4 linked regions of the Cricetulus griseus genome follow. The protein of the gene in region 2 interacts with the protein of the main gene of each other region in a pairwise test. Links are inferred from orthologs where the notes say so. Each region holds a gene or a part of one and is shown on either strand. Other genes may lie near its edges.

Region 1 (5,963 bases), on a different chromosome or scaffold from region 2:
TTTTACTCTTTTATTGATTTTGAAAGTTCTTTATATGTTAAGGTTACCTCTGAACATTATTCAGAGTAACCCATAGATCCCATGAGGGAGTAGGCACAGACTTTTCCAGGGTCTGAGCATTGTGTGTTTGTCCCTCATTGGGTTGAGTAGTTCTGGAGTTCGGTGGCAGGATGGGGCTTGTCTGCTCAGGCAGAGAGGGAGGGCAGTGGTGAGGAAAAGACAGAAGGGTCAGAGCTGAAAGTAGGAGCTATGAGTGACAGCCTTAATGGAAGGCAGATGGAGGAAACAGGATTGCCCTCGCTGAAAGGAAGGGTCAAGGGGCACAGGGCTTTCTAAAGACAGGAGCCTGGGGGACTGGCTGGTGGTGGAGCCTGGCTCCACTGTGTGATGCCTATGGGCTGTGAAAGGGCAAAGGTCAGTTTTCCTCCATCCTGCAAGTCTAGACCCTCTTAGGGCTCAGTGATAGAGAAGCTGAAGGGACTCTGAGCCACTGAAGGACAGTGTGTAGAGAGGCCCCACAGACACGGGAGAGTCTCTACCCAGCTGTGTTTCACTGAGCAATCTCTGGAGCCTCTCTGAGCCGGATTCCTTGCTCGTGAAAAGAATAGTGTTATTTATCTAATAGGATTTAGCAGAATCAGTTTGTAGAGTGTTTAGCCCAGCGCTAGGACCCAGGGACGCTTTCATAAAAGCAGGGCGTGCATTTGCATTTACACACGCATGTGTCCACACATTCCACAGTGTGTGCAGAGGTCAAGGACAACCTGTAGGAGTCTGTTCTCTCCTTCTGCCATGAGGGTCCCAGAGATTGAATTCAGGTCATGCGGCTTGGTGGCAAGCCTCCACTCTCTGAGTCATTTCACTGGCCCTGCTCTTGTTGTTACTCTGCCCCTCTGTCTGCCACTGGTGACATCAAGATGCCTTTCATTGGATCTAGGACTTTGAGAGCCCGGTGAATGATCAAGTTGTAGGTGAAGACACTGAGGCTAGGACCAGAAGGAACACATCTGGGCTCACCCGTTACAGAGGGTTTATAAAATGTTCTCTGAGTTCCACTGGTGCTCCTGGGGACCTTCAAAGTGACCTTATTTAGAAGAAGGGTCTTGAAGATCTCATAAGGGTAAACTGAAGCCACTCTGCATCAGGGAAGTCCCTATATCTAAGGGCTGGAGACACTGGGGAAGGAAGGGGTGCTTGGAACAAAGGCATAGTCCTGAAGCAGGAAGCCACGATGTCCAGTCTACATGGGCTGGGTGCCCCAGGCTCCATGCATGTCACCCAAGCAGCCTATGAACTGAGCTACATCCCCAGCCCCCAGACACACTTTGTTTTTTGTTTTCCATGTGTATGAATGTTTTGCCTGCGTGTATGTCTGCGCACCACTTTTGTGCCTGGTGGCCACAGAGTCCAGAAGATGGCATCAGATCCTCTGGGACTAGAGCAACAGATAGATGGCTCTAAGCCACCACACGCATCCATAACTGCTGAGTCATCTCTCCAACCCCTGGTACAGGTTTTTTGTTTGTTTGTTTTGGCCGTTATTCCTAGAAAAACCCAGTAAACAATTACTGACCTGGCATTTACACTGTTGGGTGCAGTTCGAGAGTTCAAGGGCAGCCTGGGCTACATGAGCTCCTGTTTTAAAACAAATAAGAAACTTTGTTTCCAGCCAGTCAACTCTTCCCCAGTGTCAGATGGCAGGTGCCAAGCAGAGAGACCACAAACCCTGAATACAAGGTTGGAGCACTGATACCGCCCCATAACTAGCCATCTAGAATCATCAGGGCCTTGATGCAGGAGTCAAAGTTGCAGTCTCTGAAATTCCTATAGGGTAGAAGCTGTCCGGTCCTGCTACAGTCCCTTCCTACTTTGTCTCTGCTCTTGCTTCCCAGCTCAGGGTCTAGGATTCAGGCAGGTGAGATTATACCCGTTTTACAGACCAGGACATGAAGGTTCCTTGACTCCTTCCAGCGAGAAGTGGGGAAAGTGGGCAGCCTGTTTGGCCAGGAGTCAAGGGACAGAGAATAAAGAATTGTCCCAGTGTCTGTGGGGAAGAGTTGGGTGCAGTGTCCTCATTGTGCCACGCAGCCTGCATGCAGCATGGAGACTGAGGTGGTTGCAGCTCTTCCTTAGGGAGTGGCTGCAGGGAGCAGTGTTCAGGCCCAGAACAGGGTCTGCATCACCTCTGGAGGGAGGCCGGCATTAGCCGGGCCGTGAGCCCAAGCGGAGCTGGGACGCCCTCTAGCAGCTAGCTCCGCGGGGGATGGTAGGGAGAGGAGGAGCCGGGGCAGTGAGGAGTGCCGTGAGGTCCTCCTGGGCCGCAGGGGGCACTGTGGCCGAACTTGAGCCCTCACACCGGCCAGCGAGAACCGGAAGTGGGTGTGGTAGAGTCACTTCCTGTGCGGAACCGCGGCCTGGGCGGAGGACTGGTCACTGGCGCTGGGTCTGAACCGGTAGATCGGGAGGAGGCGGCGTGTGGGCGTCGGGACGCACGGCCGTCGCCATGCCGTTTCTGCACGGCTTTCGCAGGATCATCTTCGAGTACCAGCCCCTGGTGGACGCTATCCTGGGCGCCTTGGGCATCCAGGACCTGGAGCGGCAGGAGCCCCTGGACGAGTGAGTGGCTGTGGTCCCTGTGGTTGTCGCAGCGGGAGCTGTGTGGCTCCGAGCGCGAGCTCCAGCCCGAGGCGAGCTCGCAGCGTCTTGCAGGGCAGAGGACCTGGGCTTCGGCGCCGCTCCCTGTGCATGGATGCCGGGAGGAGACGAGCTGGCTGTGGCCGAGCGCACTTTCTGCAGACAGCAGGCCTCTCTCTCTCTCTGAGATTCTCTGAGGAAGGAAGCGGGTGTGGTTCTTGTGCCCTCTGCAGAGCTCCCCGGGTATTTGGAGCGCTGCGACAGGCGAGCACCCAGACCTGCTGCGCGGTGTGGAATGCATGGGGTGGAGTGGGCAGAGGTGGGGCGTTGGGACAGTCATGAGAGGAATTGCAGACACTGTCAGTCTCACCGGGGAAGTCTTTTCTAAACCACATCAGCTCTTTCCTCTGAGGCCTACTCTGTAAGGGCATTGCTAGGCTTTTCCAGAACTCCGGGGCCGGGCTAAAGGGCTGCACATCAAGGCACTGCCGTCCTCCGTAGGCGGAGCCTAACATTCCGGAGGGCTGCCCCAGATAAGCTTTTTGTGTCCGGGCGTTGGTCGAATCTTGGGGCCAACCTATTACAAGAAGTCTGGTGGATGAGATTAGGGAGAAGAGCGAGTGATGAACTTCGTGGAGAGGTGGATCTGGAGGTGTTTGGGCAGTTGTCAGAGCTGGGCAAGGTGTGGAGCAGCCCCAAGCCCAAGAAGCTCTTAGTAGGTAGTGTTGACTAGGAAGGGTGAGAGCTTTGGGGCCTCCTTCTGGGTGGTGTGAGAGCCAGCTGGACAGAGCCAGCCATTGGTAGCAAGCTGAAGGATGGCTTTGAAACCACTTCAGATATGACCAAAAAAGGCTTCTGCCCCACCGAGTATGAGCAGTTTTTGTGGTTGATTGTGGAACAACACACAGGGTAGGGCAGCTGGTCCCCAAGTGTTACCACTGCGTCTGCTTTGCCTCTGATGTGCAGTTATGCCGCCGGCGAGGAGAGCCGCATCCTGGTCCTCACTGAGCTGCTGGAGCAGAAGGCCCACTCTCCATTCTACCAGGAAGGTGTGAGCAATGCTTTGCTGAAGATGGCTGAGCTGGGGCTGACTCGGGCAGCTGCTGTCCTTCTGCAGAGTGGGGCCAACCTCAATTTTGAAGGTCAGCAGGATCCCAGAGGGTCCAGGGCTAGGCAGCTAGGCCTGGCCTCTGCTTTTCCTCTTATCTGTGGGTGACTTTCCTTATTCTTTTCCTTCGGGTGGCTTCCTCACTCCTGTGGGCTTTCCAGGTGGCTCATAGCACCTCGGCTCAGAGTGGTGTTGCTTCTAGCATGTGATTAAGTTGCCAAACTTCCCCAGCTTCCAGATTAATCCCACTTCTATTATGGTGAAACTGCACCGGCAGTGCCCAGAGCTAAGGGAAGGTAATTTCCTGTGACTCTGAGCTGTCCTGCGGGTTTTGCTTAGATCCTAGAGGTGGGAAGATAAGCCATACTAGGCATCAGTTACAGCAAGCCTCATAGGTTTCTTAAGCATCCAGGATGATGAAGGGCCAACTTTCAGTCCTGCCATTCATTGGCTGTTACCCCAGGAGATAGAAACAGGTTGGACTGCCTCTGAACTAGTATGGGGCCAGTGCTGACCCACAACAGCCTTAGTGTCTTTCATTGGAAACCAGCTCAAAACAAGCTCAGACACTGCAGGCACCTGGGAACCCTGCAAGCAGAAGGGGGCATCTATTCCAAAGCCCTTCCATGTGGTCACCTGGCCTGGAAGCAGAAGGCTCTCTCTCTTGTGTGTGTGTGGTTTTTTCGAGACAGGATTTCTCTGTGTAGTTTTGTAGACCAGGCTGGCCTCAAACTCACAGAGTTTGCCTCTGCGGAGTGCTGGGACTAAAGGTGTGCAGCATCACCGCCCAGTGGCAGAAGATCTTTAGTGATTCAGGGATAGCTGGCAAGGTCAGGGCCTGCCAGGGCATTGTAATGAGAGCCTGGCTCAAGAACAAAAAGTGGCTGCACTGCCAGGCTTGAGCACAGCAGTCTCTCTGCTTGCTCTTGGGAACAGTCCTGAGAGGAAGTGACAGAGAGGAGACTGAGGCCAACACAGATAAGTTGCATACCCATTGGAACTCACCAGGACTTTAGGCCTAGCATCTGCACACTTGAGGTAGCAGTGCTGGGGAGAGGCTCAAGGCCAGGTCCTGAACCTTTGAGAATGGACTGACCTGTACTGCTTTCTGTCCAGACCCTGTTACCTATTACACAGCCCTGCATATCGCTGTCCTGAGAAACCAGCCTGACATGGTGGAGTTGCTGGTGCGCCATGGGGCTGACATCAACCGGAGGGACCGGGTAAGAGTCAGGTTCAGTCAGCTTGGGTGTATGTGGTAGATTTACCAGCCAGCCTTTCAGGCCCCAGGCCAACATGGCTGCTATCCCTTTTGGCTCAGATCCATGAGAGCAGCCCCTTAGATCTGGCCAGCGAGGAACCTGAACGTCTGCCCTGCCTGCAGCGCCTCTTGGATCTTGGAGCAGATGTCAATGCAGCTGACAAAAATGGTAAGTGCCTCCGTGGGAGGCTGACTATGCTAGGGATATAGCCAGGTGAGCATCTGGGGGCTGGCCCCAGAGGATGACATAGCCACAGCTGGCATACAGGAGGAGGGTACCAGCCTGCCTGAATCCAGCACCCTGGAGAGTACAGTCACTGTCTCCATGCTGCCTCAGAAGGCATCAAGGAGTGAGCATACTCTGTCTATGTGTGGATGCAGACAGGTCCTGACCTTGCTGACCCTCTTGTTCCTATTGTGTGAATGAAAATCCAGTAGCTCTTCCCTCAGTCTTGAGAATCTTGCTTCCACCCATCTGTGGGCACACTGGCCTCATCCTTCCTTCTCCTTCCTAGGGAAGACAGCACTGCTGCATGCTCTGGCTAGCAGTGATGGAGTGCAGATCCACAACACAGACAACATCCGGCTCCTCCTGGAGGGAGGTGAGGGTCTACATTGTCCACAGCAGCTGCCATGCCTTCTGCTCCATCCCCCTCACCCTTGTTTGGTAAGGATTGCTGGCCGCCTCTCATTTTTGTTCCATGGCTCTTCCAGGGGCAGATGTCAAGGCCACCACCAAAGATGGGGACACTGTGTTCACATGTATTATCTTCCTCCTTGGTGAGACTGTCTGTGGGGACAAGGAGGAGGCCCCGATGATCAACCGCTTCTGCTTCCAAGTTACACAGCTTTTGCTGGCCCATGGGGCTGATCCCAGTGAGTGCCCAGCCCATGAGTCGCTCACACACATCTGCCTCAAGAGCTTCAAGCTGCACTTTCCCCTCCTGCGCTTCCTGCTGG
Region 2 (5,742 bases):
AGACACCAGAAGTCATGAGAGGAAGAAGAGCAAGCAGAATGGGAAGCATGTAGATGAGTAAATGAGCCTTGGGGCAGCACATAGATTAACAGAAATGGGTTAATTTAAATTAAAAGAGCTAAAACAAGCCTAAGCCACGGCAGAGCATTTATAATTAATATAAGTCTCTGTGTGCTTATTTGGGAACTGGCTTGCAGGAAAGAAAAGTCCACCTACACGTATAGACACACATTAATTTTACAAAATTATTTTTATCTCATTTCTTATATATGGGTGTACTGCCTGCATATATGTCTGTGTACCACACCTGTGCCTGGTGCCTGAAGTTGATCCCCTGGTACTGGAGTTATAGACAGTTGTGAGCTGCCATTTGGGTGTTTGGACCTGAACCCTGGTTCTCTAAAAAGAGTAACCAGTGCTCTTAACCATGGAGTCATCTCTCCAGCCCCTGTGTATATACTTCTTTATTCAGCACATATAACAAGTAATGTCAAAAACTCCAAATTGGTGGCTATACAATATGTGAATCTATATTTCCCCTATACTAGCCTTTAATGTTTCCAAAGGGCTTTCACTTACATTATTTCCAGTCAAAATAATTCTGGAGGCCATGGATGGTGGTAGGCTCATGCCTGTAATCCCTACACTCAGTAAGCAAAATAGGAGAACTCTTGAGTTCGAGGCCAGCTCTGGCTATATAGCAAGTTTTAAACCAACCTAGGCTACATGGCCAAACCTTGTCTCAAACAAAAACAAAAAAATCTGGGCTGTAGATGCTGCTCAATAGTAGAGATTTACAATACCCAGCATTTACAGGTCACAGGGACCCAATCCTTAGTACCACAGGAAAACAAAAACAAGAAACCTGAGTTGGACATGATGGTGCATGCCTGTAATGCCAAGACTTGAAAAACTCAGAAGACAGTGAGTTTCAAGCCAGCTGGACTACACAGAGACCCTCCTGTCTCAATAAATCAAGAAGTCTATTTCTAAATTGTGTTCAGACCCAGTCTGAAATAATACTTAAAATCAGGCAAACAGTGGGAAAGCTGATGGACACCTGCAATACTAGCACCTGGGATTGAAGGAAGGAGGATCAGGAATTCAAGGCTAGCCTGGCCTATATGAGACCCTGTCTCAAAAAAATTAAAAAGTTCGGGCCGGACACTGGTGGCGCATGCCTTTAATCCCAGCACTCGGGAGGCAGAGGCAGGTGGATCTCTGTGAGTTTGAGGCCAGCCTGGTCTCCATATGGAGTGTCAGGATAAGCTCCAGAGAAACCCTGTCTCGAAAAACCAAAACAAACAAAAAACACTGTATAAGCTGGACAGTGGTAGCGCACGCCTTTAATCCCAGCACTCGGGAGACAGAGGCAGGCGGATCTCTGTGAGTTCAAGACCAGCCTCGTCTACAGAGTTCCAGGAGAGCCAGGGCTACACAGAGAAACCCTTTCTTGAAAAACAAAAAAAACAAAACAAAACAAAAAAATCCAGGTACTGCCTTCCACGTGGAAAACATTACTTTACACATAGACACCCAAGAATGCTGCTATAGGTGCAAAATGAGAAATACTCTGGAAGGAAATCGGGCTTTGAAAAAGGAGGGAAGAGGAGTGGGGCCTGAGGCAACGGGTGATACAAAAAAACAAGGTCAGGCATGGTGGAGTCTGTAATCCCAACACCTGGGAGGCTGAGACAGGAGGATCACTGCAAATTCAAGGTCAGCAGGGACTACAGGATGAGACCCTTCCTCAAATCATTGGTAAGGAGGGAAAAGTAGAGATGTTGCTCCAGGGTGGGCAACTTGTTCAGATATAGCAGTTAAACTGGGCTGACTAGATGCATGCCTACCGAGATAGAACCAAGTCCAAGTTTCCAGTGCCCTGAGAATTTGATTCAAAGAGGTACAGGAATGTTAACCAAACTCCTACTAATCAAACTCCTGTATCATATATATATATTTTTTTTTTTCAAGGGCTATGTTGGGATAAAATAATGGTGATTTTTACAAAGAATACAAATTCTCCAGAATATGGTACTTTGTTCATTAGTTCACCGTGCTCATCATCAACTACATGTTCACATGTCCTCTCAGAAGGAGAGATGATGTAAAACCTGGCACTTTCCCTTCTTCACAGTCCAGAAGAGGAGTGGTGGAGTTGATGTTCTTCTCCTCCCCATTTCCCAACAAGCTGGCACACACCTGTATCTCAAAAAATGCTTCCAGGAAGAGGTTCTATAGGCAATGCTCGGTCTCCTAGGGTCAAGACCCAGACCCAGAAATCAAAAAGCTTCCCGTGATGGGCAAATTAATAGGGGTTAATCTAAAAAAATAGATAAAGGGTTATTGACCAAGCAAAGAAGCAGGAGAGAGAGAGAGGTGTCTTGGGTTATTCCAGTCCTAGCTCTGCCACCCACCAACTTCAAATAAGGCATTGCAACCAGTTTCTCCAACTGTCAAACAGACGATGACATTTGCCCTATCTTACATACAGCAAATCAAACGACAAAATAAATAGGAAAGGAGATTCCAGACTGCTATTAGTTGTAGCAACAGAATGGCACAATAAATTCACAATGAGGACCAGAGGAAATGTTTGGAATTGCTTGTTCCCCCTTTTCAACTACTGGGAAGCAGGCCCTGTCACAGGGTCTACTGGTGACAGAGTATCAACATTAATGTACCCCTCTCCTTCCCTTACCACTATCCAATCCCATTCCTTCTTAGGGAAATACTAGCAGCCAGCAACACTGTAATTAGCTAACACTATTGTATAAGAAGTACCTGCCAAGATTCTCACAGGTCAGTCTCTGAGAACAGTGGCCTTGGTAACCGCCACAATTGCTACCAGTTGAGATGAAGCTAGTTTTTTAAAGGAAAAGTGTGTGCCGATCCCAAACATGCTCAATCCTGCTCGCTTTCGGCTCTCTCCTGTTCCTACTCTCTACCCACCAACTGTTCTGCCTCCTTGGGCTGGGGTGGGCTTCGTATAAAGCGAGTGGATGGATCGTGCGTGCGAGGGAGCGGGGCTGCAAATCATCCAGGGGCAAGGATGTCAGGAATGTAAGAGTCCTCCACGGAGGGGTGGGAGGGGAGAGGAGCGGCGAAGGAATAAAAGAGAAAGACAAGGCTGCCAAAGACAAGGCATGGGAAAGAAGCCAAGCTATGGCGCTTGGAGGGCGGAGGTTTGGGTTCCGTGGCTCCTGCCAAGGCTGGCCCCCAGAACGTTCCCCTCCTCGCCTCCAGGCCCGTCAATCATTGCCATTTAAACTCCACGTTGTCCCCTAGGCCGAGCCGTCTGCTCCTCCCCGGTCCTCGGGCCAGCCCAAGGCCACTCCCGCACTTCCCAAGGCTTCCCTGCTCCAGAGGACCTTCCCAAGCTCCTGAGCCCCCAGCTCGCCTCCCGACTCCTCCCAGCAGAGCTCCCTTCCTCCATCCTCCTCCCCCCCTCCACCCTTCCTCTCGACCCCCAGCACCTCCGACCCAGGCGCCTACCCACCGGGACCTCGCCCCCTCCGCTCCGCTCCGCTTCGCTCCCCTCCCCTCCCGGGTGAGAAGCTCGTTCAGGAGCGTTACGCACCGCCCTGGACACTGAGTGGGTTCTCCGGACGCGGGGCCGGGCTGCAGCTGAGGCCACGGCGGCCGCGGAGTGGCCTGGGTGCCGGCTCTCAGCCTCTCCCCGTAGGGGAAGGGGAAGGGGAAGGAAAGGATGGGGAAGAAGGTTCCAACCACTCCTGCTCGTCTCGGACTGACCCTTTTGCCACGCCCACCGCTGCTACGCAACGGGGCGGAAGTCCGTCACCAAACCCCGCCCCTTTGTTTAACTCGGCGGCGACGACCGGACGCTCCAAGCGAGCGGCCCCGGTTCGCTAGACCTCCGCTCTTGCCCGGAAGTTGTTAGAAACGGACCCCCGGCGGGATTTGATAGCCATTTGGGAGGGAGGACTCTATGCTCTCCAGGTGTAACGATCTGGGGCGACCGTGGATGTACTGCCCGGCCATGTCACTTCGTGTGCGATAACGCAGGTCTCGGGCGGGCGCTGCAGCTGATGCAACGTCGGGGCGAGATGGCCTCGGGACAACCGGTCTGCTACTGCTGCTGCTGCTGCTGCTGCAGCGTAACCTGCTGCTGTCCTCCCTGCCCCTCAGTTTCCAGAGCTGCTGTGGTCAGCATCGCGGAGCCTCCCGGCCTCGTGTCATGGGAAGGGACACAGCGGTTAACTCGGAAGGCTGCGGGGTGGGGAGGGGGGGAGGGAGGGAGGCAGGGAGGCAGGGTCACACCGCAAAGCTCTGACCCAGGGTGTTGTAAGGGTCGCCCGCCTCCCGGCCACATTCGATGGCTCTTGAGAAACTCAATCGTGCCCTGAAACACTGTGAAGGGTTTGGTTTCCTGAGGTTGCAGCTGCGCGATTGGGGGGTGTGGGTGGGAGAGAACCTGGACTTGGAAGTCACCGTGGAGCTTAAAGCGCTCTGCTATATAGGTAAGGGATCGAGCAAGGCAAGAAACGAGATTACATTTACCCCTTAGGCTAACCTGGTGCCAAACAGTATTTGTTATGTTGTCTTTTTAAAAAATTCACATTAGTGCATTTGTAACTCGTTTGTTTGTAAGAGGTAGTTGCCTTTGAGGACTGACAAGTACCCCGAGGGCACTAAAGGTGCTGGGTGTTTTAAGATCCAGTGAGAAAAGAAAATAGGAACCGGACATGCCCTGCGAAAAGACTTGCTTTTTATGTCCCGGATTCCATTTCTTCCAAAGGAGGCTGAATCTGCCTAATGTCTTTTCTAAAGCATAAATGCCACTTGATCCAGAGGCCTGGGCAGAACTGTTCAGTGTATTAAAGATGAAGGCCCCTATGTCTAAGTTAATGCCATATCCTAGGCATCGCTTTTTACCTAACTCTACATTTTCATGTATAAAACGGAATTTATATGTTTAAGAATAGCCGAGCAAAGAAGCGAAGAGAGGGGCTGGCATTCAAACTTCTGCCCGCTGCATTCCTAAGCCCTTGGACCTTTTTCCATTGTGCCACTACTTGAAAAGGAAAAAAAAAAAAAAAAAAAAACCCACAATCTTGCGAGCCTGGAGCGCCTTTTTCTGAGCCGAACTGAGGCGCCCCCTGGCGGTCGGTCCATCTTCTCCCGCGCGGAACTCATCTTCGTCGAGGCTCCTTTAATTCCTAAAACCTCCCCGTTCGTGGCGCGTGAATACCGGCGCCTGATTGGGTGGGCGGCGGCTGGAGGCGGGGTTTTTGGAGGGCAGATCAGCTCCCATTGGCTAGGGAAGGTCAGGGGACACTTCCGGGAATGTGTGCGCTCCCGCGTTCCACTCCGCAGCATCCGGCGGCAGCCAGCCCCCTGGCTCCCCCTGCGGGTGGCTTGGCGGTGTGCACAGTCCCGCCTGCTGGCTGGGTGGGTGGTGGGCTGTGAATGGGGGAGGGGACCGGGCGAGCTCTGGGTGTGGGGATGAGGGTGCAGGAAGATCCGCCGAGTAGGATTCTCTCCCCTGGCGCTGCTCCGGGTTCCCTAAGAGTCTCCTTGAGCCTCCCTGCTTCGGAGCGTGAGACCGAGAGCATCCTGACCGAGGGGCCTCGCAGCCCCTCAGCATCTTATCCAGAGATCTCTAAATTCTGATCGTGAAGTACGAGGCCCCCAGGGAAGTTCGTTTCTAACCTCCTAGAAGGGTTAGAGAGGGACCAAGGCTGCCGGATCCCCCCCCCGCCGCCGCCTGGTGTGGTGGGT
Region 3 (6,014 bases), on a different chromosome or scaffold from region 2:
TGTGGTCAGCTCAATTATCCCCACTCTTACACTGCATAGGACCTGCTGCCAAGGGAATGGTGCTGCCCACAGTGGACTGCCGTCCTTGTTCTATAGGACAACCCCCTATAGACATGCCCACAGGCCAACCCAACATAGACAAGCCCTCATTGAGAGCCTTCTCAGGTGATTCTCCATTAAGTCAATGACAATTAAGATAATTAGCACACTCCAATTAAAGTACTGAAGCTGAAATCGAACACCACATAGGCATGTGGGTTGAGATGCATCCACCATACAGCAGTGAAAATTCTCTTTTGGGCAGTTCACCCTAATGGAAGAACATGTTTCCTCTGTCTGCAACGAATGGGAAGGAAGCAAGCCCAGAACGGTGGGCATGTGAGGTCAGAGGTCAGAAAGAATAAATGTTAATGACGGACTCACTCGCTCTTCTACCTGGTTCTACCTTTGTCTCTTCCCATGACCTCATCTTAGCAGAGAATGTACGCTCCGTTCCAACATTCCTCAGTAGGCTGAGTGAGTTATCGTGTCTTCTCCAGTGGACACACAGACCCCAATTCCATTCCAGGAATATACAGTTTTATTATTTTTGGAAAGCCTGTCTAAAGAGCAGAAAGATTCTGTGCGATACTTCCTGGGCTGTGGCTGCTGAGCAGTCCTTCTACGTGAGAGCTAAGAACAAGGTATCTATTTTCTTTCTGGGGGTTGGAGAGAGAAGTTCATATAAAGCACTCTTCAGTGAAAATGTCCACACTGGTGTTTCTTTGTCCTGCCCACAAGGCCTGATTACCGATCCCCCTGTAGGTCTGTGGGTGGCTGTGCTGAGAAGCCAGGAATATTCAGTCACAGCTGCCCTCCAGCATGCAAGCCTCAGGAACCCCTCAGGCCCAGGTTCCCTCTGTGCTACCTAATTGCCACTTGTCCTGGCTGCTAGCCTCTATTCGGGGCAATTTATCAGTGTGTGGTTAATCGGCCCCTTCAAAGAGAAAGGAAATGCTGATTTGAAATATTTTGGACAAAGGACATATTTGAGAGCTTGTTTCAGAAGTCTCTGTGATGATGGCGGGTCACAGTCACAGAGCAGAGAGGCCAGTGCTGCCAGAGACCAAGTGATTCAGGAAGACGGGACACTCCTCCTTAATAATAGGTTATTCTCTTCGTCTGGGAGGAACTGGAAGTAGCACAGTCAAGGTCTCTTCAATTCTCCAAGGCAGGAAGAACCGAACTCTCCTCTGTCCTACTTTTTGTTTGTAGTTTTCCTTTTGATCCTTTTCCACGGGTGTTTTCCCCTCTATCTGTCCTCACTACCTTGTCTCCTCTACAGAATGAAAGACACTGGACCAGGAAGCTATGAATGGTTCTTTCAGACTATCCCAGGCTCCAGAAACTTCTGGCCATAGACAGAAGCAGAGGTATGTGCTGAGATACAACTGGATGCTTCCCCACAGCCTGAGGCTCGAAGGTATCAGGAAGTTATGGGGGTGAGTGCTGGGTAAGATAAGGGGGATCCTGGCATCTCCTCTCCCCACCAGGCAGCTCTGTGGGTTGGAAACCACACGAATCCCTGCTCCATTTCAGATAGAGGTCCTGACCACTCACTCTCAGGCAGCATCACACCACACCTGTCCCACTCCCCACTGTAGAAGAGGGTGTTGCTGTCTTCCATCCATCATCATCCCAGAGTCTCAGCCTCCCTCCTGTCTGACCAAGGTCTGCCAATTAAAAAAAAATTATTTAAAATTCCCCACCTCTTACTCAACTCTTCATCAGCTGTACCCTGAAATGAATCCGACTCACTTGAAGAATATCTGAAATGCAAATCTGATCACTTGACTTTTTGGGTTTAAATCCTTCTATGGTCACAAAATAAAATCCAGAAATCCCAGCATGCCCTACAAAACCAGCCAAAAGCTGACTTGTAGCAGTCATGTCAGAGAAGACTTGGTGAGGTGCCTGCAGCTTCCCTCTGTAGCACATATTAAAGTGCCAGTGCTGGAGCTATGACTGCTTCTTCCTGCTGCTGGAATGACAACATGACACCCCTGGGGGCATGCCTTAGAACACCCTACTGAGCCAAGGACACCAGGAAAGTGGCCCAGCTTCAGATCTACACTGGACCCTGGAAAATGGTCAAGAGGTCAGAGGTATATGGGAAGGGAAGAAACGGAGTTGGGCAATTTTGTCACTAACTAGTGACAGACTTGGGGCTAGCAATGTCACCGGACTCAAGTGTAACCAGAGCCTAAAAACAGTCATATTTCCATGTGGCCGCCCCTTAAGAATCCCTACTCTTCAGAAGAGCATCTTTCAAGTCATGTAAGGGCTCTGCGGGTGCCCAGGTACAACCTCCTCAGGATCAAAAGACCTGGTCATAGTGCCAGAGGAAAAGGTGTCACATGGCCTACTCAAGACACATTCCTGCTCTCCATAGTCACCCTGACCTCTGACCCCACAGAGCATCCAGCTATTCATGGTGCAGCAGTGAGCATCTGAAGCACACGCTCCTGGAGAAGCTGGCCACACTGGGCCCCTACTTCACTAGGGATCATACTTCTGAGACAGCCATGCTTCGGCCAGCCCTGCTCCTCACACCTTCATCTTGTACCTTTTGTACCACATGCTGCTGCTGCAGACCTCGGGAGTCTGTGGAGATGGCAGCTTCTCAGATGCAGAGAAGCAGGAGTCTGGTGGCCAGGATGCTTTATCAAGCAGAGTTCTGCTGGCACTGTGCTTATCCCTACTGGAGTATCCCACCTTCCAGAGTCACAGTCCCCAAGTCCAGCAGAGTGGGATGGGGCGGAGGAGAGTCCCATCCTAGTCAGTGTCCTAGTAACTCAGTTACCCTTTTCATTGCTGTGACCAAACACCCAACAAGAAACAGTGTAAGGGAGGAAGAGGTCATAACTTAAAAAGGGGTGTGGATCATCTTGGCTGGGAAGGAAAAATCTGGCCACACCAAGAGTGGACAGGAAGTGAGGCCAACCTATAAAATCTCAAGGCTGGCTCCTAGAGACACATTTCCTTCACCAAGGTCTCACATCCTGAAGATTCCACAGTATTCCCAAACAGCATGAAACCAGGGATGACACATTTCATATCTTAACTATACCTGACCTCAACACTTCTGCTTCTTGCCCTGTGTTTCTGGACTCTGATAAGGAAGTTTTTCAGCCTCAGGAAATAATAAGGGGTCTAATGGATGCCCAAAATACCACCAGGCCAGTCGGGCTACTCGAGCTTCCAAGGGAACAGCATTTGTTGGAGATGAACTTCCTTTCCGCCATAGACCACTCAGTTTTCAAGAAGTCTGCTGTTTGAGAGAGGGCACCTCCTCCAACACAGCGCCACAGAGAGCAGCTAAGGGAGAGAGGGCATCCAACCACTCTCCTTACACTGCCGGGAGGGCACATGCCTTTGTTGTAATGCCAGGAGGGCACATACCTTTGTGAGTTGCTGCTCTGAAGAGAACCCCAAGCCGAACACTGTGTTGGCTCTGCTGTCAGCCCACTGGCCGAACTTCTGTGAGGTTTTGGTGAAAGTCATGTTCGGGGTGATGGTGCTGTTTATAATCACCTGCGGGAGACAACCCAAGGGAGACAGCATTAACTCTACAGTGGACCGTTTCTCCAGACACAGCCGGTGGAGACAGGGCACTTCCTCTGTCCTGTTGGGTTTGCTCCTGGGCTGTTCTGACCAGGGCAGACACACAACCACGACAAAAGGTAATTTCAGACACTTGACAACAGAAGAGTCTAAGATGGAATCTTTCACATTACTGATAGGAAAACCTCTCTCCTAAGAATGGTTTCCAAAACTGATATTTTATTGCCCCGAAGATACCAAGTACCAAAGTTTCTTTAAAGACTAGCCATGTGTACATTCCCAGGGGAACTGCCCTCTCCCCACCATACCCACCTCCCATTTGAAATCTAGCCAAACCAGTTAATACTTCCACCAGCAGTGGGGCCTTTGCTTCCGAGGGGAAGGAGGAGATTCTGACCTGGGGAGTAGGTAGAGGGCTAATTAATAAATAGACTAGTCATACTGGTGAGAGCAGGGAGACCGGAGGGGTTGGCACAGGAGCCTGATGCTGGGCCGTTACCTCCCTTGACCTCAAATGAGAAAAGAAGCAGAGAGACCACAAACCCTGGGAGAGAGAGAGGGTCATGTGGAGCATATGTTTCTACTTTGTATTTCTGGTTAACAGAATCGCCGCCGTGAAGTGTATGTCCAATGTGAGTGAATGAATGAATGAATGAATGAATGAAATGAATGAATGAATGCAGCACGTATCAGATGGCTCCTGGGTCAGTCATATCCATATCCTTAGGGGTTCCTTGAATGCCAGTAGATAAAAGTTAACTGGAGTGTAACACACAGGTCCAAGTCTTGATCCTAACAGGCTTTCCCAGAGTTGGTCACACTAAGATAGGTCTTTAAAACAAAACAATTTCTAAGCAATTTTTCATAAGATATCTCATCTAAACTTATCTTTAAAGAAGGAGACACTGAGGTTCAACAAAGTCAAGTGGCTTGTCCAAGGTCATGATAGCAAGTGTAGATGACTGGGAATGTACTGCTCTCAAAGTAGTGGTTAATGGACTTTTTTTTTAAAGATTTACTTTTTATTTTTCATTATGTATACTGTTGGGGGAAAGGGTGTGCCTGTGAGTGTAGGTGCCCGCGGTGTTGGGTGCCCTGAAGCTGGAGAACAGTGGTTATGAGCCACACACATTATGGCTGCTGGGCATTGGAAGCAGGCCTGGAGGAAGGGAAGATGTTCCTAACACTAAACCGTTTCTCCAGGCCCCAATCTGGGCATTTTTAATTGATCTGTTTTCTACTTCACTGATGTGGCTGGTTAATACAGTCTATCTGCTGTTACATTATCCACTCAGTGCCTTGTGTGTGGGGAGTGGGGGAGTGAACAAAGAAGGAAGGAGTTTTAATTAGTTACCTGGTTTTGCTCTGTAGCTTCTCCTTTTTCAGTCTCCCCAGTTCTGAGACTCACCACCATTCCTGCCTCTGTTATTTTTAAAATCTAGCATATCTCATATTTTAAAAATGCACTCCAAGACTAGACATGGTGGCATACACCTTTAATTCCAGTACCTGGGAGCAGAGGCAGGAAGATCTCTGTGAGTTTGTGGCTAGTCTGATCTACAAAGTGAGTTCCAGGCCAGTTAGAATCTACTAAATGAGACCCTGTCTCAATCAAAATCAGTCAATCAATATTCGAAATCCCTGAGGTATTCTTCCCTTTGCTTGTTTTGTCCATTTCCCCTTTACTTTCTCAATACATTGATGTGTTTATTTTAAAGTCCTTGATGCAAACGCCAACACCTGGGCCATCTCTGAATCTATCATTATCTGGATCTCCCCTCCCGACTCCAGGCATATGGTCCCACCTTTTTGCAGGTCTAGTCATTTTTTTTTTTCTTAAATCTCATGCTGAAATTGCAAAGACTGCATAGAATGTGACCATCTGCCCAAGGAAGCTCCCTTTCTCTGCTAGGTGAACTAGGCAGACAGGAAATCCCCTCATCTTAGGGCTGTACTGGGTCAGGTTGGATTTCAGCTCCCAGAGACTCAGTCTACCTTTGGTTCACTCCTGAACTCAGGGCAGGCTCTTTATTTTATTTTATTTTTTTTTGCCTACATGTATGTTTGTGCATCATGGGCATGCCTGGTTCTTGTCAGAGAGTTTGCTGGACCCCCGGAACTGGGATTACAGATGGTTTTGAGCTACCATGTGCATGCTAAGAATTGAACCTGGGTCCTCTGGGAGAGCATCCAGTGCCTTTAACCACTGAGCCATCTCTCCAGCCTTAGGGCAGGCTCTTGAAGGAGTTCAACAGAGAGATGGGCAGATCTTGATCTCCTCTGCCCTCAAGGACTGTGGAGAATCAGTACCATCTGTGAGAAGTTTTCAGCTTGCTTTTGTAGACTATTAAATCCTCATCTTCCCAACTTGGCTGTCCTCTTATACTGGCTTCAGACTTGCTATGTAGCTA
Region 4 (5,852 bases), on a different chromosome or scaffold from region 2:
AATCCCAGAACTCGGGAGGCAGAGGCAGGTGGATCTCAAGACACTTTATCTAAGTAGAGGTCCAGGACAGCCAGGGCCACAAAGGAACCCTGTCTCAAGAACAAAAACAAAACTGGCCTACTATTATGATTAAGTTGTACTTACTGGCTATTACTTCCATCTTTTTTGTAGTATTTAAAATTCTAATTCTGCCAGGTTGTGGTGGTGCTTGCCTTTAATCCCAGCATTCGGGAGGCAGAGGCAAGCAGATCTCTTTGTGTTCAAGGCCAGCCTGGTCTACAGAGTGAGTTCTGTAGTTCTGGGACAGGCTTCAAATCTACACAGAGAAACTCTGTTCTCAAAGACCAAGAAAAAAAATTCTACTGCTATATGATTTTTTTCCCAAGACAGGGTTTCTCTGTGTAGACTTGGCTGTCCTGGAGCTTAATTTAGACCAGGTGTGTGCCACTATCACTCAGCTTCTATGTGAATTTTTAAACGACCCTTCTCCAATAACCTATAAGCTTCTAGTGTGGGAACAATATATGTTTTATCCCTTACTGCATCTTTAGTACCTAGCATAGGGACTGACACTCAACTTTGTAGAAATGAACACATGGATTAATGAGGCATGTCAGAAGAATCACAGCTCTTGTGAGCAAAACATGTACTTCCACCCAGGAAGACACACACCCTGGTAGCTATCAATGATGAGGAAAATGGAGAAAGCACCAGCCACCTAGTGGATGGGAGAGGAAGAAGCCCCCATGTTGTACCGGATGTCTAACAAGTGGTGGGAAATGGGTTGGGATTTTCCTCTGGTCAGAAAAATACTCCTGTCTTTGCAGTTCACATGTGACTTGCTTGCTTTTAAATTGGCAATTTCCATAAGAAAGAGCTATTTGAGGATACTGTTCTACTTGAGCTATGACAAAGCCCAATCATTTTATTCTTAATTTATTCATTTTCAAAAGTTTGAGTATACACAAGTATTTCCTGATGTGTGAAAACTGTGTGAAATTGACATTTCAGTGTGCCCAGAAATAAATTTCATCAGTTCCAGAAATCTAAAACATTTGTTACCTAAGCGTTTGCCTACCCCATGGGCTGGATGACAGTCCCAGGTAAGACTGGGCAGTAGGGTGGATTCAGACCACAGACCCCTCTCTTCCTCCTCTAAATAGGGATATACCTCCCCAACTCTCTCCTTGGACAGAGACATGACAAGAAAGAGAGAGTGATGTGCTGTGGCCTTGCAATTCTGTCCCTCCTCTGTAAAGCTGCAGGACAACTTTATATTCATTCCTAGCTCCTGTGTCCTTGCTTATTAGCACATAGGCTAGCATAACTCACCTCTCTCTCTCTCTCTCTCTCTCTCTCTCTCTCTCTCTCTCTCTCTCTCTCTCTCTCTCTCTCTGTCCTACTAACGCTCATCTGAGGGGTAATTCATGCCAGCTTCCTTTCTACGGGCCTGTCATTCTTCCACAAGTTACGACAAGCGGCAATTCCCCACGAGTGGTTATGCTAGTCCTCATTAAGATCGAGTCCCTACAAAAGCTTTTAAGATAAGCACTAGTCGGCTACCAGGAAAAACCGCTAGCGGCTCTTACCAAAGTAGTCAAGCCAATTCATCTCGCGCAGCGCCTTGGGGAGCCGAAGGATCTCGATGTTGTATAGGTTCTCCACCTCCTTGAGGAGGTTCTGTCTGTCGGACTCGATTTGATTGATTCGAATTTGCACTGCGGAGAGATCAAAGCCGACGGATCCAGTGTCAACAAGAGGGCGAAGCCATCGCACCCGCGCCCCAACCCGCCCGAAATTCTCGAAGGCCGCGGATCCGCCCCTTACCCTCGCGGTCGAAGTCCTTAAGGAAGGAGGCGAGCTTGCGGCTCCGCAGCGCGTTAGCTCTGGCGCCCCGGCTGCTGCCCTTCTTGGGAGCCATGGCGCCGGGGTGAAGGCTGCGTCGAACGAAGGACCGAGCAGCCGGCTCAGCGGCTGAGACGGGGAAAGAGGACGTGAGCGCTCACGGAGCAGCGGGGGTTCAGTCGTTGGAGTCTGGTACCCAGAAGTCTGCGGACGTGTCCCTGCAGGCGCCGAAACACAGACCCAGGAAACCTCGCAGCTCCAGCTGAGGGAGAGGTTGCGCCTCCGCTAACCGCCACCCAATTCAAACTCAACGGATACAGGTTGGCCAATAACAAGTCGCCGTCTTGGGACGGTTCTCTCACCGCCCAATCACAACAAAGCTTCTTCATCCCGCAACCAATCTCTATAGAGGACTTCAATGCCCAGAGGACATTGCGGCCTACGCTTTCTTTTCGCGACTCCAGAGTCGCGCTAAGTGGAACTAGACTGTAGGGTTTGCTTTTGAGCATGTGCAGAGAGTGCCAAGCGCAGTGTGGTTCTTGGTGTCCACTTAGCTTTGGCTACCCAGGATTTGAGTTTTCCTGCGGATTTAGGGACACGGCTGGCAGTCTCAGAGGAGATAAGACCCTGGCTCCAGAAGCAGGAGTTCGAGGAGAGACAGGCCCCAGGGACTCGCAGTCTAAAGCGGAAGGTTGCCCTGTCCTTTGGAAGCCTCTTTTGAAGACTTCTAGGACCCCCTTCCTGAGGTGAGAAGCAAGGGTCCTTCTGCAGAGAGAGCTGGTAAGAGGATCGCCAGAGCCTCCACTCTTGAAAGTCAGCGGTGACAAGACAGAGCCACAGCTTCACCCTGCCACCCTCAGCAGCGTGAGGCGTTCCCCTAAGCTTTTAGAGACTGCAGCCCAGTTGGTGGCTTTGAAGCTGCAAAGAATTCAGGGCTAGCCAGTTTAAGAAGCAGAGTTATGGGTGGGAGGGGGAGCTGTGGTTGGAATGTAAAATGAAATTAAAAAGTTAAAAACATGGAAAAAAGCAAAATCACACACACACACACACACACACACACACACACACACACGAGAGTAGGAATGTAACACTGTCTGGCCTGGAACTCTCTATGTAGACCAGGTTGCCTCTATCTCAGAGACCTGTCTGTCTCTTGACTCCTCAGTGCTGGAATAAAGGTGTATGCTACCACGCCCAGCCTAAAGTTACTATTAATTTTTTGTTTGTATTTTGAGACAAGGTTTCTCTGTATTGTTTTGGAGCCTGTCCTGGAACTCGCTCTGGAGACCAGACTGGCCTCGAACTCACAGAGATCGGCCTGCCTCTGTACCCTGAGTGCTGGGATTAAAGGCGTGTGCCACCAACGCCCTGCTTTTTTTTAAAAGTTATTTTTAATACAGGCTTAAGGACGAGGCTTAAGAGAGAGGCACCTAGACAGAAAATAAAAGACACTTGCAGGCTACTCAAAAAATTAAGTATGAAATAGCGAAGTGGGTGTGGGCTTCTCAGGGAGAGGCTGCAATTGATTGTCTTAACATTAACCATGTATAACTTTGTTGACTTTCAAGATATATCTCAAGAGGGTTTCTTAAAAAAAAAAAAACGTGGGGGCTGGAGAGATGGCTCAGAGGTTAAGCGAACTGACTGTTCTTCCAGAGGTCCTGAGTTCAATTCCCAGCAACCACATGGTGGCTCACAACCATCTATAATGAGATCTGGCACCCTCTTCTAACAAGCAGGCATAAACATAATAAATAAATAAATCTAAAAAAGTCCGAAAAACAAAAAAGCAAACCAACAACTTGTTATTACCTCTCTCTCTTCTTTTTATAAGTGAAGTGGTTTCTGAATTATAATCTAATAAAGTGAAACCAGGAGCTACTTTGGTTGTCAAGGGGTAGTACTCTGCTTTCTCTGTAAATGGGATTTCTGGTGAGATTTCTACAAGATTGAAGGTTTACATCTGGGAAGGGAGGAAGGCCTTCAGCAGTTGGTAATTGGACTGCTGGGAGTATTCTCACTTCTTTGTTGACCAGAGGCATCAACCTGCTTCCAGGATGAGGAGGGCCCGTTCTTTTTCACATCCCCCAAAGTCTTCCTACCTTTCTATATTGCCTTAGGACTATTTTAAGATCAAAAGCTGGCCTCATGAGGTCAGAAATGACTCGCCCTTGAACCAGGCCCTCCCCTTCTGGTACCCTGACTCTTGGTTTTGTCTTCCCAGAAGATGGCTCAAGACCAGCCTTTGCTGGCTGTGCAAGAGGTCCTGAGGAAGTGCTTCCCTGTGGTGCAGGAGCAGCAGGACTTGTGGCAAAGCACTCTTCAGGGCTGCTCGTCCCTCCTCTCCTCTCTCAGCAACCTGGCTGAGCAGCTGCAGGCTTCACAGAATCTGAGGTTTGAGGACGTGCCGGCCCTTCGTCCCTTCCCAGACTTACAGGAGCGGCTGAGGCGCAAGCAACTGGAGGCTGGCGACATTGTCCTGGACAAGCTAGCTGAGAGGCTGTAAGAGACTCTGTGGCCCGCTTTCTTGGTAGAAAGATCTTAAAGCTTCATGACATCCCATCCCCAATCAGGGTGGGCCTACAAAAGTTACAAAAGCAAGCTGGTCATTCGGGGGAGTAAGGTTGAAGGACTGTGAGTTTGAGGCCAGCCTGGGCTATGTTATAAGACCTTGTCTCAAAAACAAACATACAAACAAAATATCAGGTCGAGTGTGGTGGCGCATGTCTTTAAACTGAGGGTAGTCAGGAGGCAGAAGCAGGCAGGACTCAGAGAAACCCTGTCTCATAAAAAAAAAAACGAATGAAAAAAATAACCCCAAACCAACTAAATAAACAAAAGTAATTACAAAAGCAGAAAAGAAGGGGACTGGAGAAAATGTAGTTTTCTGTAGTTGTCTTTAGTATGCTGTAGGGTTGGTAAGTGCTAGAAATAAGGGCTTTGTGTATGTTACCTTATACACCTCTGGCTTAACCCTGTTCATACACCTGGAAGCACAAAAACGGAAAGTCAAATAGATGTCTGATCACATAGCCAGTGAGGGATAGAGTGGGGATTCTGAAGTGTGTTTACCACATTAGCTGTGGCTTTCTACCAGGCTTTGTTCTACACATAGGTGGATACATGTGTAACTGAAACAGCCCACCAAACAGTAACACAGGTGTTGCGCTGATACTTTGTTTACTGTTTGTTTTATTACTGTTCATCACAGTCTTTAAGCTAGACTCAAAACTTGGCAGGTTTTGGATTGTTTCCTGTTTTTACACAGTTGGACATTTTAGAGCCCCAATTCGGGGCTAGGGGATTCTTTGGCCTTTGGAAAGTTACAGCCCTTGTCTTGGTTCCTTAGAGTTATAATACCTAAGCAGCCAGTGGTGCATGCCTTTAATCCCAGCACCCTGACTGAAACCCTCCTCCAAAAAAAAAAAGAAAGAAAGAAAAAGAAGAAGAATACCTAGGCACTACCAAAATCACTTTTCCTTCTTCTTCTTCTTTTTTTTTTTTAACCCCAAGACAGGGTTTCTCTGTGTATCCGTGGCTGTCCTGGAATTCGCTCTGTAGACCAGGGTGGCCTCAAACTCACAGAGATGCACCTGCTTCTGCCTCCTGAGTGCTGGGGTTAAAGGCGTGCGCCGCCACCACCATCACGGGTACAAAAGCACTTTCTACACATCATCATTATTTCTCTTTCTCATTCACTGCTACACTGACTGTGTGTGCTGTGTGTGTGCTCCTGTTCTTGGGAGACACAGTGAGCAAAGGAGCCTTTATATAAGGATTAACTCACTTTCCCCAGCAGTCTGCACCCCATCTACGCTGTCATTCAAGAACTGGATTAAAAAAGGGTAGTCAAGATGGCTCAGTCCCCAGATGGTTCAATCTCCAGAACCCACAGAAAGATGGAAGGACAGAATGGACACCACAAAGTAGCCCCCTGACCTTCACACACAAGTGCTGTGGCATGTGTGCCCCTTCCCACCATATGTAATTAAAAAGAATTTGCAAAG

Evidence for each region. The genes of interacting proteins can lie anywhere in the genome.
Region 1: the proteins of Rnf41 (region 2) and ankyrin repeat and SOCS box protein 6 interact in binary tests that used the Homo sapiens proteins (3 or more experiments, as listed by UniProt). The link is inferred for Cricetulus griseus from reciprocal best matches to the Homo sapiens genes RNF41 and ASB6.
Region 3: the proteins of Rnf41 (region 2) and Homer2 interact in binary tests that used the Homo sapiens proteins (3 or more experiments, as listed by UniProt). The link is inferred for Cricetulus griseus from reciprocal best matches to the Homo sapiens genes RNF41 and HOMER2.
Region 4: the proteins of Rnf41 (region 2) and CUNH1orf109 interact in binary tests that used the Homo sapiens proteins (3 or more experiments, as listed by UniProt). The two-hybrid records come from large-scale screens. The link is inferred for Cricetulus griseus from reciprocal best matches to the Homo sapiens genes RNF41 and AIRIM.

What each region holds. Positions count from the first base shown.
Region 1 is NC_048599.1:142,506,341-142,512,303, reverse strand, and holds the start of ankyrin repeat and SOCS box protein 6, read left to right. Parts: upstream 1-2,390; 5' UTR 2,391-2,503; coding exon 2,504-2,616; intron 2,617-3,600; coding exon 3,601-3,776; intron 3,777-4,858; coding exon 4,859-4,965; intron 4,966-5,063; coding exon 5,064-5,172; intron 5,173-5,518; coding exon 5,519-5,605; intron 5,606-5,717; coding exon 5,718-5,963. UniProt on the Homo sapiens protein: Probable substrate-recognition component of a SCF-like ECS (Elongin-Cullin-SOCS-box protein) E3 ubiquitin-protein ligase complex which mediates the ubiquitination and subsequent proteasomal degradation of target proteins.
Region 2 is NW_023276806.1:129,470,397-129,476,138, forward strand, and holds the start of Rnf41 (E3 ubiquitin-protein ligase NRDP1), read right to left. Parts: upstream 3,764-5,742; 5' UTR 3,500-3,763; intron 1-3,499. UniProt on the Homo sapiens protein: Acts as E3 ubiquitin-protein ligase and regulates the degradation of target proteins. Polyubiquitinates MYD88. Negatively regulates MYD88-dependent production of pro-inflammatory cytokines.
Region 3 is NC_048596.1:115,890,559-115,896,572, reverse strand, and holds the start of Homer2 (homer protein homolog 2), read right to left. Parts: upstream 3,574-6,014; 5' UTR 3,544-3,573; coding exon 3,442-3,543; intron 1-3,441. UniProt on the Homo sapiens protein: Postsynaptic density scaffolding protein. Binds and cross-links cytoplasmic regions of GRM1, GRM5, ITPR1, DNM3, RYR1, RYR2, SHANK1 and SHANK3.
Region 4 is NC_048595.1:28,116,279-28,122,130, reverse strand, and holds the start of CUNH1orf109 (uncharacterized protein C1orf109 homolog), read left to right. Parts: upstream 1-2,279; 5' UTR 2,280-2,625; intron 2,626-4,069; exon of another isoform or gene 4,070-4,072; coding exon 4,073-4,347; intron 4,348-5,852. Other genes in the region: Cdca8 (borealin), read right to left, coding at 1,590-1,718, 1,828-1,921. UniProt on the Homo sapiens protein: Part of the 55LCC heterohexameric ATPase complex which is chromatin-associated and promotes replisome proteostasis to maintain replication fork progression and genome stability.